2 linked regions of the Saccharomyces cerevisiae S288C genome follow. The protein of the gene in region 1 interacts with the protein of each later gene in a biochemical or structural test. Each region holds a gene or a part of one and is shown on either strand. Other genes may lie near its edges.

Region 1 (4,055 bases):
CATTGGGTCTCTGGACTTAGCTATGGTATTTAGTAGATGTCGCGCTTCAGGCCAAGGGTCCGCTATCGAATCAGCCCTTATTAACACTATTGCGTTACATATTACGCACAGGTATAATAAGAGTGTTATCATAGTTTGCTTATAATATTCGGCAGGGGTTAAAGAGTCACGGTGAAATTTGAATTTCTAATCGATTGTTCTTTTTTATTTTGCTGAAGTGCGAGTTCGTTACTTGCTTACTTACTGCGATTTGCCGTTAAAGTAAAGCCCGCTGTCAACTTTTCCGAAGAAGCGCCAAGAAGGCATACAAGTCAGCAGAAGTTGAAAACTGTAAAAGAAGTACCCACGAGAAGACGGACCCCCTAGTATTAAGTTTAAATTTTTATTTCTTCCAGTTACTGCTCTACATCAATGTAAACTCGCTAATATATATATATATATATATATATATGTCGTACATGTATGTGTACCCATGACAAAAAAGTATATATAGGACAGTATCAAAGATCAATTAAGCTTACACCTTGGTCAGGAGTATATCCCTGTTGCTGCTGTTGCTGCTGCTGCTGCTGCTGTTGTTGTTGATGAGGTTGAATGTATTGTGGTTGTTGTTGATAATTTTGAGTGTATTGTGGTTGTTGTTGGAAGTTTTGGGCGTATTGAGGTTGCTGTTGTTGGAAATTTTGCATGTATTGCGGTTGTTGCTGTGGCTGTTGTTGCTGTTGTGGCTGAGAGTAGCTTATACCAGTAGGATTTTGCTGAGGAGAATTAGTAGGAGGACTTTGAGGTTGGTTACCAAACCCGTACCCTGTTTGCGTGGGCACGATATTTGTGCTTGGTAAACCAGTGTATTGGTTGCTTAAGAAAGGGTTGTTCTTGGGTTCATTAGTAACCTGTTTGTAGCCTGTACCCTGAGAATTTATAAATGTGCCTGTCTTTGTATGTTGTGCAGGAATACGTGCCTCTCCAGTGTTACCAAAAGTATCTATCCCTGTACCAGTTGCTAACAAGGTATTCAAGTCGCTGTATTTATCCGATATAGACTGGTTCCCAGTCCTTGTTTGCTTCAAGGGTTGTTGTTGCTGGAACTGGGCTTGCTGTTGTAGCAATTGGGCTTGCTGCTGTTGTAATTGGGCTTCTTCTTGCCTCTTCTGGTGTAATTGAGCTTCCTCTTGTTGTTGTCTTTGCAATTGTTGTAGCTTCAATTGTTCTTGTTGTTGTCTAGCTTCTTCTTGTTGTCTTTGCAATTGAGCATGCTGTTGCTCCTGCTTTTGTCTTTCAAGATTATCCATGGAAAACGGATTATTAGAACCTGTAGGCAAAGGTTGTTGAAAATCAGCGGGCTGTTGTTGTTGTTGTTGCATATTAGCGGCTGTTTGTTGCTGTTGCAAGGCAGAAGCGGCGGCCGCAGCTTGTTGTTGCTGCTGAAAATATTGTTGTTCAGCAAGCTGCTGTTGTTCTTGCTGCTGGTCCAGCCATCTTTGCTGAGCCATTGCTTGTTCCTGGTCCTGTTGGTACTGATACTGTAAGTATTCATCTTGGGAGATTGGATTACCGAAAATGTCGTAGTACGCTGGTTGTTGTTGTGGTTGTTGTTGTTGTAAAGGAGCTTGAAATTGAGACAGAGACTGTTGTTGCTTCTGTAATCTCTGTAGTTCCTGCAATTGCTTCAACTCCTCTTCTTCTTTACTTAGTTGTAAGGCAGCTTGGAAGTCAGGATCTTCATCGTCGTACTGGGCCAGTTCTCTTCTACGTTGTTCATCTTCTTGAGCAGTAATTCTGCTCTCCTCTAGGGCCTTTTCCAAATCGTCCTGGTAAGAGGGAGAAGAATCGTGTGGGTTGCTCCTTGTTCTTTGTCTTCTTGGCCTTGGCCTAGCAGCTCTGTTCGCCCTTCTGTTTCTTGTATTCATAGACCTCTCTTCGCGTAGCCTTTCTTCATCATTCAACAAAGAGACGAGTTCTTTAGCCTTTACTCTGATAATTTGTCCCTCGTCAAATCCGGACTCATTTTCGTGTCTGAATTCCCTTAATGTCTTAATTACGTAAAAATTCTCTCTGCACCATAGCACACAGTTCTCACTCCCGAAACGAACAAGATAGTCCAAAACGGTCAGCGATTTGGCAACGTGTCTCCAGTATTTGCCCTTATCGTTCAGCCTCTTGTCTAACATATCCATAATCTCGAAGAAGTCCACCGAATCGTAAGATCTCTGTGCCAAATCGTCGAGAGTGTCTATCGATGGAGTCCTCGAGTCGTTCGCCGTGGCATCTCTCACAAGCACTTGTGTGGATGAGTAGCCCTTCATCATGTTCTTTGCAGAACGAACAAACTGCTTAGACATTACTTACAAAACAAATACACTTAATAGGGGTGTGTCAAAATAAACAAAAGAAGATGATAAGAATTTGTGAAGGTCAAACTAGAATGTGAGCGTATTCGCAGTTGTAGGCAAAACAGAACAAAATAATTAAATAAACGAACGCCTCCTTCAACAAAGGTCAATAATGTAGCAAAATATTGGGAGTGTGTCAATCCTTGAAAGGGTCCGTAACTAAACTCTTCTTTCTTTAGTTTCCACTACTTTTTTTTTCACCCTTCGCCGCAGGGTAATTTCTTGTAGGCCATGTATATACGATTAATCGTTACACATAAAATGCGGTTTGGACAAACAATACAATGGATCGTGCGGGATACTGCCAGACTACGCTATGCTCGACTGTAGAATACTGAGTGGTGATATCGCCCCTTCGGTATTGTGATCTTGGGCGCACTTGTTTATCTAACAGGTGCGGGTGCAAGTTTACTAGAGCATCGTCGTATGATGGGGAAAGTCAGGGTGTATGTGCCCGTCGATTGAGCACCAAGACCCGTTGCCATGTGCATATGTTATTGTACCCATAGAGGCAGTCCACGTTCGGCCATCTATCTATCTTTAGATAAACGGATCATTGGCGATACCGCCTGGCCATTTGCACCTGCTCGGGGTCGGCGTTATCGGACCGTGGAATTTGAGCCATGTAACACACGGTTTCAAACATGGGCTAATGACCTTCATAAGTAGGACGATTTACACCTGAGTTGGGTGTGATGGAGCAATGGCCAGGTGCCCCTCTCGCCCTCTTGTGTTTGTATATAAGAGCAACCTCCTCATACTCTCTTGCTTAGTCTAAGGAGGAGCTATTTAACAGTGCACAATATAACACAGCATATATACACACACACACATAAAATAACCGCAAAAATGGAGGACAGTAGCAATACAATCATACCCTCACCCACTGACGTGGGGGCGCTAGCAAACAGAATCAACTTTCAAACCAGAGATGCCCACAATAAAATCAATACCTTCATGGGCATAAAGATGGCCATCGCCATGAGACATGGCTTTATATACAGACAGGGTATTCTGGCGTACTATTATGTGTTCGATGCCATCGAGCAAGAGATAGATCGCCTACTGAATGACCCCGTAACGGAGGAGGAGCTGCAAACTTCGACCATTCTGAAGCAGTTTTGGCTCGAAGATTTTAGAAGATCTACGCAGATCTATAAGGACCTGAAGCTGCTATACTCAAACACGTTTAAAAGCACAGAATCATTAAACGAATTCCTGGCTACGTTCCAGAAGCCACCGCTACTACAGCAGTTTATCAATAACATCCACGAAAACATACACAAGGAGCCATGCACCATTCTTTCTTACTGTCACGTTCTGTACTTGGCGCTTTTCGCCGGCGGCAAGCTAATACGATCGAATTTGTACAGAAGACTGGGGCTCTTCCCCAACTTCGAGAAGCTATCACAGAAGGAACTGGTCAAAAAGGGCACAAACTTCTTCACCTTCAGCGATCTGGGTCCCACTGAAGAAACACGCTTGAAATGGGAATACAAGAAGAACTATGAGCTGGCCACCAGGACGGAATTGACCGAAGCACAAAAGTTGCAGATCATTAGCGTCGCAGAAGGCATTTTTGATTGGAACTTCAACATCGTTGCAGAAATTGGAGAGTTGAATCGTCGCGAGTTAATGGGCAAGTTCAGCTTCAAGTGTATT
Region 2 (13,176 bases), on another chromosome or scaffold:
ACATCTTTCAAAGAAGCTGAAACATCATTATTGTCATTAATATTCTTTTCACCTGGATAGTCCATATCGTAAAATTGTAGGTCTGATCTACGCATGTTTGGACCCACTAAAGCACCTACAACCACAAATCTACCCGCTGGAGACCAAGAAACAGTGTTGGCAAAAGTTTTTGGAATTTCTTTGACCAAGCTCCATCTTTTAATTACGTCAGTCTTTTCTTTAGTTTCTGGAGCGTAAAATCTGATTGTATTTGCTGGGATAGCATAATTCATATCAGCTACTTCATGAACAGAAATTGTAACAAATCTATTTCCGTGGGGTTCCCAACCGAATTCAAAGACACTATCTTTCAATTCAACCTTTTCAACTGGTATATCTCTTTCAGTCAACCTACAAATTTGTAGATTACTGAATTGAGTCTTACCAGACTTTGTGTGACGTTCGACATTGAAGCACAGGAACTCAGCTTGGTTTTGCCAGTGCAGAGTTACGTTGGAGACTTGAACTAAGTTAACGGTTTTTAGCACTCTACCGCGAGGAACTTCAGCAATGGTAGCAGTACAAGCGGAATTATTAGTCTCAGGAGTCCAATAAGCCAATAAAACAGAAGGCTCGTCACCGTTTCTGAATGGTTGTAATTTAACACCTTCTGGAGCAAATGAGAAATCTCTAATACCAGAAGGCTTCAAAGCCTTAGCTTCTAATGGCATGAAGTTTTTAGTAGCATCGTGAACTATTAAACTGTCTCCAACCATACGAGCACAATATTTATCATTATAAGACCATCTAACTAAAGGCCATTTCAGATATGGGCTCTTTATCACTGGGAAAGTTGCCATCAACAGACCAGAAGCAATGTCCCAGATGCATAATTGATGACCCTCATTTTTCTTGGTAAATGGAGAGAATTCGTTATCTTCTTCTACAATGATTGGTTCCGTGGAGAAAGTGACCAGGTACTTTTCATTCGGAGAGACGGAAGAGTTTCTTACATCTGGATGATAGAATCTTCTCAAACGATCGAAGTTTGGACCACCCCATGCAGTTACACCCTGTTGATGGTAAGAAAACAAATAGGTACCCTTTGGGGAGAATCTAACATAATTGGTAGACCAGTTCTCTCTAGATTCCACCAAAGAATCTTCTTCATTGAACATAGAGTTCCAGAACACACTAGTCTTCACGTCATCTTGTAATACAAACTGATCTCTCACTTTGTCGTCCATTAACCAGGATTTTAAGGAACTAGATGGAACGAATGTAGGCATATCAGGCTCCCTGAATTCGGTGTCAAAGTCGTCAGAATTATATCTTTCAACATCTTTCATAGTATAAAGAAACAAACGATGTTTTAAATCCAGTCTTTTACCGTGGAAACTCTTGATAATTTTTTTAGCATCGTTCATTGAGCCACATTCCACGAAGAGAAAACCTTTCGTCTTACCAGTGGCTTCATCAATTGGAAATTCCATGTTAACAACTTTACCAGCTTTGGAAAACAAAGAAGTCAAAGCCTTTTTCAAAACAGGAACTTTGGCGGATGGGATGACTGGGGCACCATTAACGACGATGTACTGATCGAAATTGAATTCTTCAGTGACCTTGTATTGTTCTTCCAGGTCGGAAAAATCAATGTCGTCAACAGGGATGTCCTCTAGCTTAATGTCTTCGAAAGTCTCGGTAGTCATTTGAATTATCTTTGACCTTTTGAGCTGTGTGTTGCGAGATACTATACTATGTACTGAGATGTTATTGAAATATAATTCGTAAATATTTTTCAATGTGCGTGGAAGAAAATTTTTCATTAGTTTCCCGCTATCCAAAATATGGAAAGGAGGGTAATAGGTGTCAGAAGAATAAAAGTATTAGGCGATCAAGTAATAATGATAAGATGGTGCACAATGAGAAGTTTATCTAGTTACGTAAAATGTAATGGAAGGTACTAAAATGTATTTTTTGTTTCGCGGCGTTACACGTGAGTTCATATTATTTCAACTCTTTGGTTCTTCTTAACGTATTATCAGAATGTCACCTATTCTAGGTGAATATCACCCTCTTGGTCAGTGGTAGCGTTTGCATTCGTAGCCACTGGAGCATTTTCATCATCACTGGACATGACGTTATCACTGTCATCTTCGTCCTCGTCATCATCGCCGTTAATTTCTTTTTGGGCAAAATCGATAGCTTCCTGTAGCAGATCGCCCTTAACGAACTTGTGCAGACCATTCGTTTCCGACAGTGAACACCAACTTATTTCCAATTCAAAATCCTTTTCCTTGTTATCCTCGTGTGCCAAATAGATAATCTTTGCAGCTTGTTTAACGGCCTCTCTTGCTGAAAGACCTTCTGGATGATGGTCAACTAATTTTTCCAATTCAGCCTTCGCAGATTGCCTACCTTTCCCAGTGGCAGCCCCCTTGTAGCCCCAATAAGAGCCACTTGGTTCCAACATGTAAAGATGAGCACCATTTTTATCTACACCACCAAAGATGGTACTGACCCCGAACGGTCTAACACTGTTGTATAAAGTGTGCGCCTGCACATATTGTCCTAAACGGTCTGCAAATGCAGGAATGGGAATGGGCGTTTTATACAGCTTTTTGAAGCTGGCGGCTTCTTCACGACCACGATTAACCAGGTGCCTACCATCAGGAATCAAACCTGAATAAACGCAACCGATGTGACGGTCTACGACTTGAATCTTGACATTTTTTTGTGGGACCAGCAGTTTAGACGTAATGAGCTTTTCCACTGCAAAGACTACACCGTCGTTACACTTTATACCGATTGATGTGGTACCGTTTTCGACTGCTTTGACGGCATACTCTACTTGGAAATTTCTACCATCGGGGGAAAAAACACTATTGGAAAGATCGTAACCAGTACCAATTGATGTCATTGCTGAAGAGTTATGCTTTTGTTAATTTGATGATGCGACGCTCGAATGTGTTTGAAAGCTTTACAACTGCACTACCAAATAAACCCTCTACCGCCACTATTACCACTTACTTTCTTATTTTTGCCACCGATTTAGAGGGGCGGCGAAATCTTCGTTAAACGTGATTTAGCTATCGGAACCCATTATAAATTGTGAGGAAGCTTACCAACTCATAAGTGGAATAAAGACACAGGCAACACTTTTCAGAAGCAATGTCAGCAATGATTCAGAAAAGTGACCCCATCAGGGTCGAAATCTGAGTGCTCAGATTATCTCTTCAAAGGGTAAATTACGGGTAGGACTACATATACAGAGAACTTCTGGGACCTGGGAAATACTGTTCTTTCTAGTGTGTATACATGGGAATAGCTGCATATTTCCAGACAGTTTAGATGTTACCTTTGTTTAAAGTTAGAGTATTTTTCACACCGATGATTACGAAGTCACACATTCGCATCCTGCGGTATTGTCATTGACAACGCGTAAAAAAACATATACTTAACGGAGGCCGAAGGAGATGAGAAACAATTGAAGAAAAGGAAAGGTAATATTTATTTAAATAGTCGTTTTCAAACCAAAGCCCAGCAATATTTTTCATCACGTCTAATTGGCAGGGAAAATAGTAGTACGAATACTTGATAGGATTGCAGAAGATCTTGTACATAAATGGCCTATTATAGAGAGTCACGCTGAACACGCGGCGGTAGCTTCAAATCTTTCTCTGCATTAAGTTGCTAGAGCTTGGTCTGCCCATTATATGTTCACTACCATCAGAAATTGTGCCTATGATTGTCTATCTTCACTTTTTTTTTTTTTTTGAACTTCCAAGCTGGTCGTGCTGCTATATTTATTTATACGTGTGATTTCGTCTTGCTAACATTAACATTTTTCTTCTTAAAACACACAACGGCGAAATGATTCGTATCACATGTTTTTCTATCGTCTGAGCTGTCAATGTTTTATAACCTAGACATTAAAAGTTATATAATTAAGGTGGGTTCGTCTTTGGAGGAGGTGCTTCCTTCTTGTTTAGGACTTTCATACTGGTAATGCTTTATAAGCACGGCCGTTGTTTTAGTTTCAGATCTTCCTATTGTAAATGGAATAAACTGGCGTTCCTACCGTGATGGCAGCGATATTACCTACCTTATATACTGCGCTTTTAACTTATGTATAATATATATATTAAATAAAATACAAAACAAAGTCTTGAATTTCTTTTCTATCTCTGCAATAGTTGACATTATTTCCAGTCCCAATTCAATGCGCTATCAAAAGGCACCATAATTTACAGTATATTATTTGAGCCATATCTAAGCGGAAAGCTCACAAGTTCTTGTCATGATACAACCTGATAGAATAACTATGTCGACACTCTACCGTATTAGGCGCAATGAAGTGGCCGTATACATCTCAGGAAAACTGGAAAAGACTTCCTAGTCGTTCTGGAAAAGTAGGTCATAATCGAAGAAATCAAGGCTACCAAAAATATCGGGAACATCCATGGATATGTCCAAAGAAGACATGGGAGGGTCATAGTAGTTTTTAAAATTACTCGGTAACTTAACATTGTCATTGTTATTAATGTTCGAACCACTGTTATTGTAGTTATTGTTTATCGGCATAAAGTTTAGATTAGGAGCGGCACGGTTACTTTCACTCGAACCAATTGACGGAGGCATGTTTTCCTCATTATTTTGGTTACTAATATTGTGTGCTAAGCTATAAGTGGAGGCATTACCAACATTTGTAGGGTCATTTGAGCTGCTGTACGGTGGTACACTCTCATTTTCCACGCTGGAGTTGAGTAAAAGTTCAATTGTGGGTGTATTATCTTTCATGTTTGGTTTTGATGGATTCAGAGAATTTTGTGGGTCAGCAACACCGATGTTTTTTATTCTGTCAAATTCTTTGATGATTTGGTATAATTGATCAAGGGTAAAGTTAACAGTGAGATTTTTGCCCTTTAGTCTATCAATTAAATGGTCAGACTTGTCCAAGTTAATTCCAAGTGTCAACTCCAACATTGTGGCAATTTTTTTGGTAGTCAAGTCTTTGTCTACTTTGACAAACAAACCAGAAAATAATTGACCTTTCCTCAGCCTTTGAATGAATACGTCAAACAAGGTCAACATCTTGAAAATGTAGAAATATTTAAATCTCAGGTTTTGGGACGCAAGTAAATATACTTCCAACAAAAGCCTCTCGAAGTTCTCCTTGATAGTGTCCAATGACTTTATTTTCTCCTTTATTTCTGGGAGGTCACTAATGTCACCTCTGGCATTGCATTCGTTACATTTGACCAGAAGCATATTTTTGGCCAGCTCTACCCGCATGATGATGACCAAAAGGGTAAACATCGTGGTAGGAACAGCCAATTGAATAACTTTTGTAGTGATGAAACAAACTAAAGAAGAAAGAACTTTCTCGTAACTGCCATTGAAATACAGGAAAAAAAATCTGATTAGGGAAATGGTGTCGGCACAACATTGAAAAAAATACTTATAGAAGAAGGATAAGCATTCGCTTCTCTCCATTGCAAGTGTTTCAAAATATAACATCAGCGCTATTGAGGCCCTTAACATCATTAATTTACCCAAGATCTGGCCCGATAAACTTATAGAATTCAAAATTGAATTGAACGTTAGTTTTTGAAATGTCTTCTCTTCGTCGTAGATGTTAATATCCACACTTCTTAGCTGAAATTTGTTTTTTAAAAGTTCATTGGCTTTAACGCGTAAAGTTTCTAGTGTATCCATTGGAACCGAACCACTGTATGAAATGGTTATATTATTCAAATCAGACAAGAATAATGCTAATTGAGCCCTATGGAAAAAAATCTCATGGATTTCGAGCAGTTGCTCATCCGATTCGGAACCTGTTAGATCCTTCTTAACCCTTTTTTTATAGATTTCTACACAATTGGGATCCCGAACGTCAATGAAAAGATCAATCATTGAAAGGGGTGAGACCAATAGTCTACCCTTCAGGCTTGACTCCAGAGTTGCCATAGAGATAATTGATAGCCACTGTATCCTTCGTAAATTTAGCAGCCTTTTGTCTGAAGCTTCGGGGTGGTTCAAGGCTGGAAAGTCAGATGGGTCACGATGTAATCCGATAGACGTCCCTATTAGTATGACAAGGTTAATTATAACATCCGACGGTTGTTCTAACAGAAAATCACCCTCAGTTGGGGAAAAAACAAATGCACACCAGATATAGAGTAAGCATGAAATGGTATTTTCATTTGCACAAGCACACCAATTTTCCGATGCAAGTATCTGCTGCGCTAGGAAAATTACTTCGCTTTGAATCGGATATTGCTCTAGCATCTCTTTGGTAATATACGGACTGTAATCTTCAATCTTATCTTCTATAAATGTCAAAGAGATATACGCGATCCTCAAAATTAACAGTAAGATACACAGATTCTCCATTTTATTTCGTATAAGGGTTGTGCCCATCGATAGTCGTACCTCTCCTAATTCATTATACTGTACTGTTGTGTGAATTGATTCCTCCAACATTTCCTTGCTGGCGAAAGGGATTAGGTGGAAAATATGCTCAAAGAAATGAGAGAGGTACTGTTCAATGATTGCCTTGGGAGGGAGCGTTTTCTCGATTTCATTGATGTAGCCTTTCAACAAATCAGAATAGTCGTTTTCGGTGGGGCATGTATCCTCTAAATATGACGATTCCCTGTTACTGTATAATAAAGAAATTACTTTATTTACCGCAATCTGTTCTTCAGGGTTCTTTCTCTGTAGTAGCCTGTCCGTAAACTCGTTAATGGATTTTCTTTGTGATTCGTATTTTGAGTTTTTCAATAGAACCTCTCTCATTTTTACAACGTTATTCTTTACGCATGGCTGTGTCCTCGACCTACTAATATCTGCATTTAAAGCAGGAATCATGGAGTTTCTGGAACAACTTAGAAGCACGGAGGCAATTAATGTCTTCAGAAAGGTATCTTGAAATATTAAGTACTTCTCAGATAAAGGGTTGATTTCTCTTTTCATCACTTTGGTCATAATCAATCTGGGATGAGTCTTATAAAGACTTATTGGAAAGCTATTTTCCTGCAAGCTTTTACATGTCCTTCTAGCAGCTAATTCTTCAGTCGGCCTTTTCAATGCAGTGTAGAAGTCTTTCTTTTCTTGAGTCAAATCCACGGTTTTATTTCTCCAGTAACGAATCTCCTTTTTCAGTCTCGCTATGGTGGCATCCTTATTCGGATTCCTAGGGGCCGCCTGTCTGGCGACATCATATATACAAAAGAGGTTTTGTTTAGTACATCTGCCACATCTAGGTTTTTCCTGGTCACACTTCGTCTTTGCTTTTCTACAAGCTTGGCAAACAAAAGAAAGTCTATTCCTTTTTTTACCTACTCTATTCATTGCCGGTGATGATTCGTCTGTAAAGTACATCTTTTATCGAAGAAATTTTGTTCAGCAAGATCAGAAAGTGATATTTCATCCGCTCTATACGTTTCAGTAGATTTTCTTTATCTGACCTCTATTAAGTCCTAACAACGCTTTATGTTTTCTTCGTTGGAGATACTCCGGAGATTATATTTAGTTCCGAGATGGTCTTACAACCTTTCAAATTCCAAAATCAGAAGAAATTTTGCAGGAAGGCAAATCCTACCGGACGTATTAGTCACGATTTTATTTATTCACATATACAGATATTCACAGTTCGAATTTTGTTTACAAAGGTCAATCTTATTGATCTGCGGCTTTTGAATACCGTTGCATTCAAGAACGGCTTTCTTCATTTCGTGCAGTTCCGGGACCGATTCGTAAACCGCATCATCATCCATTTCACCCTTCAAAAAGGATCGTCTTTGATCATCAATAGGTTTGTATCTTGTATCAGGGTGTTTGTAGTATATTGCCATCGTAAAGCATATCAATATGAAAATGAAGAGATACAAAGAAAACGCTGCATTTAGAAAAAAGAAAATTAGTCCCATAAAAGAAGACACAGCTATGGGCTGCTGAAATAAGTTACTGAAAAATAAGAAAAAAAATGCGTTCACTAAATTCAGTGAATGGATACTAATATTGAAGAAGTTGGTTGTTTTATCCATGTAAGGTTGCATCCAGCACAAAAGGATGAGATAGATAGCTTCATTCAAAAAGATACCAATAGATTGAGATTTTCCGTGCGCTTGTAGAGAACCCACTAGTATAGACCTAATAAGCATGTGTGCAGAGGTCGCCATTAACCACCAGACTTTTGTAGACTTAAATTGAGAGGAAAGAAAGCCGAACTTGTTTAAGAATTTCGAGCTACTGAAGAGTAAATAGCTTGGCTGGCCAAATATTTTCTTAGACTTGATCATCTTCCTCCATATTCTTACGCTTGCGGATGATAACAAGACTGTAATCAAAATGAAAACAACGATTGCCTCCACTAAGGTAGCTGCTGAGTCTGTTTGAGTGAACTCCCAAAGTGCTAAAAGAGATATCTCAGAATAAATTATGAACACCGCTCGATATAGTGTCCCCTGTAAAAGTGCACTCCAATGTGTGTGGAAGTGTAAATATCTAATTGTCTTAACTTTAAACTTCTGAAGTACTTTCAAAAATGTTTTGAAGATAATAAACGCCAATATTATCATACAAATGAATATGATAAAGAAGGAAAATCCCGTTAAAAAGAAATTTGATATCTCAATTCCAGCTTTGTAAGACACCCTTTTAATACCTCTTAATACTAAAATTTTTGACAGATAGTCATTTGAATTTCTCAAATTTGAAGTGTATAATAAATCATTTTTTTGGGAACTTTCAATACCATTTAAATTACTTGACGCTGATATGATTTTACTGTTCAAGGATCTTTTTTGAACACTGATCGATAAAACTTCTTTATTGCGGTATACAACGGTGGGGGACCCAGATGTTGCGACAACATACCAGTCAAATAACCGCTGCATAAAATTTATCCTTATTATTCCCATTGACCATTGGAAATTTTGAGTCCAAGCGGCGACAATAGGCGGTAAAAATGATACACTAATCATAGCTAAAATAGCCAAATTTTGGAAATATAAAAGTAGCGATATTGAATAAGACGCCAGTCTTGTTGAAGTAACCGTATAACCTTGCAAAGAATAAACCACTGAAAACATAATTCCGGAAATTGTCAATATCACTAGATTCCACGATAAATACTCTGTTTGGACTGTTCTACCATTTGATAACATCACTTGTACACATGCTAGAGGTTTGGTAAATTCTTTATCAATAGTGGAGTATGCTGTCACCACAATATATGCGTCTAAGTCAGGTATATTATATGTTATGCTTGGTATTTGGCTAGCTACCGCGGCCTCAACATAATAACTTCCCATGAGTTCTATATTTCCCGGCTTCAACGGACATAATAAATTATCTTGGATTCCACATAGATCAAAAACTTTGGTATAAACATTGAGACCATATGCAATCAATTCTGCCTTGATGGTTATGTTTTCGCTCATAATTGTTTGTGCTTCAACATTAAAGAATAGAGTATTATTTCTCGGGAAAAAAGCAGCTTCGAAATACGATGCAGAAAACTGTGAGTCTTTAGCACAAGTCAACAGAGCCGAAGTCCTTAGATATTCTTTAGTATATGCATCAAATGGTACTGGGAATAGAGTCGATGCGTTGTTCAGTAGTGTAAAAGAGTTAGAAACCTGGAAAGTAGAGCTGTTAATGGAAATAGCGTGTATTTGTCGGAAGATTGCTAGCAAAACAAAAATCCGAGATAAAGAGAAGACTTTAATGGGAAGCATACTTATTCTCTTTACATCTATAAATCAGAGAGGTTAAATATTATTTAAAATAGCATTACGACTTTGCTTCATCATCCTTCCAAAATATTGACACTGCATCATTTTTTAAATGTGTCAGTAATTCGGGCACAAAAATATAAATGGACCGCCATGAACTAAAGCTGTCGTCGATATGGATCGCTCCATAGCAGCATTATAAAAATTAAAAATGCATCAATACCATGCTACAGTAATAACAAAATACAGCATGGATTACCACTACATATTCATCATGTCATGCATTATAGTTGTAACATATGCTGAACACCCATTCATCACGTGTAATTGGACATCCGTGGAGTTCCAAAAGGAGTATAAACGCAAATAGTAAAGCTAAGATATAAGTAGTGTCTAAGTAAATGACTTCTTTGTAAGCGTACAGCTAAAGTTTACCGATGAGTTACGATAAGAAGGCAGATGTCACATCCTTAGATGAAGATTTGAGACAACTAAGAGAAAGCAAATTTTCACCGGAAGCAATTCAAAATATCAAAATATGGGTATATAAATCTGTCCTAAAAGAGATAGCTCCTCCTGGAGACTTATTGGAATGCTTGAAAGATGGAACAGTCCTATGTAAGCTGGCAAATATTTTATATGAAGCAGACACAGGAGAAGCTAACCATATTAGTTGGAAGAGCTCTAAAATGCCATTTGTTCAAATGGATCAAATTTCCCAATTTTTATCATTTTCGAGAAAATATGGTGTGCCTGAAGATGAACTGTTTCAGACAATTGATCTTTTTGAGAAAAAGGATCCTGCCATTGTTTTCCAAACGTTGAAGTCACTATCTCGTTACGCCAACAAAAAACATACAGATAGATTTCCAGTTCTAGGACCACAACTGTCAACAAAGAAGCCAAGACCCCCGGTTAAGTCTAAACCAAAACATCTACAAGATGGTACTGGATGGAGCACTTTTGAATACGGTTATATGAAAGGTGCATCTCAGGCTACTGAAGGAGTGGTGTTAGGACAACGGAGAGATATAGTTTAGAGAATTATTATTAACACTTTCTCTGGCAGAAATTGATAAATAAACATTTAAGAACCCTATATACGCAACCAAAGTTCCTTTGATATATTTTAGTTTTCCATCAAAGTTTTCCTACATAAACACTAAGGTGGCTAGAGACGCGTAACAAAAGTTAACGTTACCGGTAAAAATGTGATTATACAAATCAATCTCACAGAACGGTGTGGAAACAAAGTAGTTGAAGGATTTCAACTATGCGAATCAACAGTGAGCTAGCGAACAAGTTTTCTGCCTCAACGGTGCACTTAGAACATATCACAACTGCTTTAAGTTGTTTAACACCTTTTGGTTCTAAAGACGATGTGCTTATATTCATTGATGCTGATGGGCTGTCATTTGTCAGGGAGAATAATCATGTGATAAAAATCCAACTACTGTTATCTCGGGAGCTATTTATGTCTTATTCGTATAGAAATGAAACTGAGGATCACATGAAACTTTGTGTAAAAATAAATCATATCTTAGATAGCGTTAGCGTGATGAACAGGAATTCGGATGACATTGTTGAGTGTACTTTATCTTATGATGGACATGGATCACCATTTGTACTAATATTTGAAGACTCGTTCATTTCTGAGAGAGTGGAGTACTCTACCTACTTAATTAAGGATTTTGATACTAATGGACTAGAACTCGATAGAGAAAGGATAAGCTTTGAGGCAATTATTAAGGGCGAAGCCCTTCATTCAGCCTTAAAGGATCTAAAAGAAATCGGATGCAAAGAGTGCTATGTATATGCAAAGACCGAGGCGAATGATGAGAATGTATTTGCCCTGATATCTAAATCTCAGCTAGGATTTTCTAAAATAAAATTACCCAGTAACAGATCCATACTAGAGAAGTTACAAGTATTTGACGGAGATTCCACAACAGTAATAGATGGTTTTGCTGTAATTGGGTTCTTCGATTTCACCTCGTTTGATAAAATCAGAAAGAGTACTAAAATTGCAAGCAAAGTCCTTTTCAGGATGGATGTTCATGGCGTATTGAGTGTAAATATTCTAAGTCAAACAGACGATGTCATTATCACTGATACTACAAGACCTTCAAATAATCGACCAGGTAGTATTCGCCAACTGCAGCTACCCAAGGATTATCCCGGTATAGTAATTGAGGTTTGCATGCTAGAAAAAGAATCCATAGATGAGGCAGCACAGACAGAAATAGAACTCCTGATGGAGACTAATGAACTTGGCAATCGTAATAGTTTTAAAAAATCAACTATAAGAAAAAGATATGGTACAGATAAAGGCAATGAAACTTCAAATGACAACTTGCTGCAATTGAATGGGAAAAAAATTAAACTACCATCTGAAGAAGAAAACAATAAAAACAGGGAAAGTGAGGATGAAGAGAATCACTGCAAGTATCCAACAAAGGATATTCCTATATTTTTTTAAGTCAATATCCAGCATCGCAGAAAACGCAGAACTTCATTCAGCATTTGGTAATTTTATAACATATAACTTACAATTAAATAAAAGTTTAACTATATATTATTATGTGATCTAACTCTAGAAAAAGTACTAATGAACATCACACCGTTTATTGTTGGGAGAAGTGTTCCATGATCATGGACAATTCATCAGTTTCAGCACCCCAGTTCTTGACAACAACAACGGAGGCACCGACAACCTTTCTGGCGTTACCTTCACGGTCGATCTTACCCAAACCAGCCCATTCACCTAATTGCTTAGCATCAGCAACCTTGATCAATGGAACCTTGTTTTCTGGGTCGTTAGCCAAACCTTCAACCAACTTGATAATGTTAGCTTCAGTAACAGAGCTGACCAAAACAACCAATAAAGCTTCACCTCTGGTTAAAGCCTTGGTAGATTCTCTCAAACCTCTAGCTAGACCATCGTGAACCAAAGCGGTTCTCAAAACAACCTTCAAAGCATCTTCGATAGTAACTTCGGCAGTTTGTTCAACAACAGTTTCTTCTTGAACTTCAACGACTTCTTCAACGTCAGACATTTTTCTTCTCAATAATATATAGTCTAGTTTTTGACTTCTTCGACAGTAAGATAATTAAACTGCTCCGTGAAGAGTTTTGAATTGGGAAAAACAATTGAACAAGGAACACTTATAGACCTGTTGTGATAAGAGATGACATAACTTTTATAATATGTCCTGCGGAGAATTCGATGAAATTTTGCAAATTGTAAGTTTGCTTGAAAGTTTGCTTGCGGGTAAGGTATTCTGAAAAAAATAAAATGATTCCACAATGGAAATGTGAAGATGTTGTAAACAAATCAAATGTACGGATGCACAATGGTAAACAGTACTGGATTTCTTTTTATATCACCGTTGAGCCGAAACAAACCCCGAAATAACCATTTAATATGCCAAGATGTACAAACCTCGTCTTTGCT

What was found.
Region 2: the proteins of ENT2 (region 1) and PIP2 are reported together in a solved structure, tested with the Saccharomyces cerevisiae proteins (one study listed by BioGRID).

Annotation. Positions count from the first base shown.
Region 1 is NC_001144.5:552,865-556,919, reverse strand, and holds ENT2 (epsin), read right to left. Parts: upstream 2,343-4,055; coding exon 501-2,342; downstream 1-500. Other genes in the region: ubiquitin ligase complex subunit HRD3, read right to left, coding at 1-132; HMX1 (Hmx1p), read left to right, coding at 3,243-4,055. UniProt on the Saccharomyces cerevisiae protein: Binds to membranes enriched in phosphatidylinositol 3,5-bisphosphate (PtdIns(3,5)P2) and phosphatidylinositol 4,5-bisphosphate (PtdIns(4,5)P2). Required for endocytosis and localization of actin.
Region 2 is NC_001147.6:1,015,848-1,029,023, forward strand, and holds PIP2 (oleate-activated transcription factor PIP2), read right to left. Parts: upstream 7,366-13,176; coding exon 4,375-7,365; downstream 1-4,374. Other genes in the region: PRT1 (translation initiation factor eIF3 core subunit b), read right to left, coding at 1-1,805; PRE10 (proteasome core particle subunit alpha 7), read right to left, coding at 2,033-2,899; YOR365C (putative flavin adenine dinucleotide transporter), read right to left, coding at 7,614-9,725; SCP1 (Scp1p), read left to right, coding at 10,160-10,762; RAD17 (Rad17p), read left to right, coding at 10,996-12,201; 40S ribosomal protein eS12 RPS12, read right to left, coding at 12,347-12,778. UniProt on the Saccharomyces cerevisiae protein: The PIP2-OAF1 heterodimer acts as a transcriptional activator to induce the transcription of genes encoding proteins involved in fatty acid beta-oxidation, a response called oleic acid induction, when cells grow on fatty acids as sole carbon source.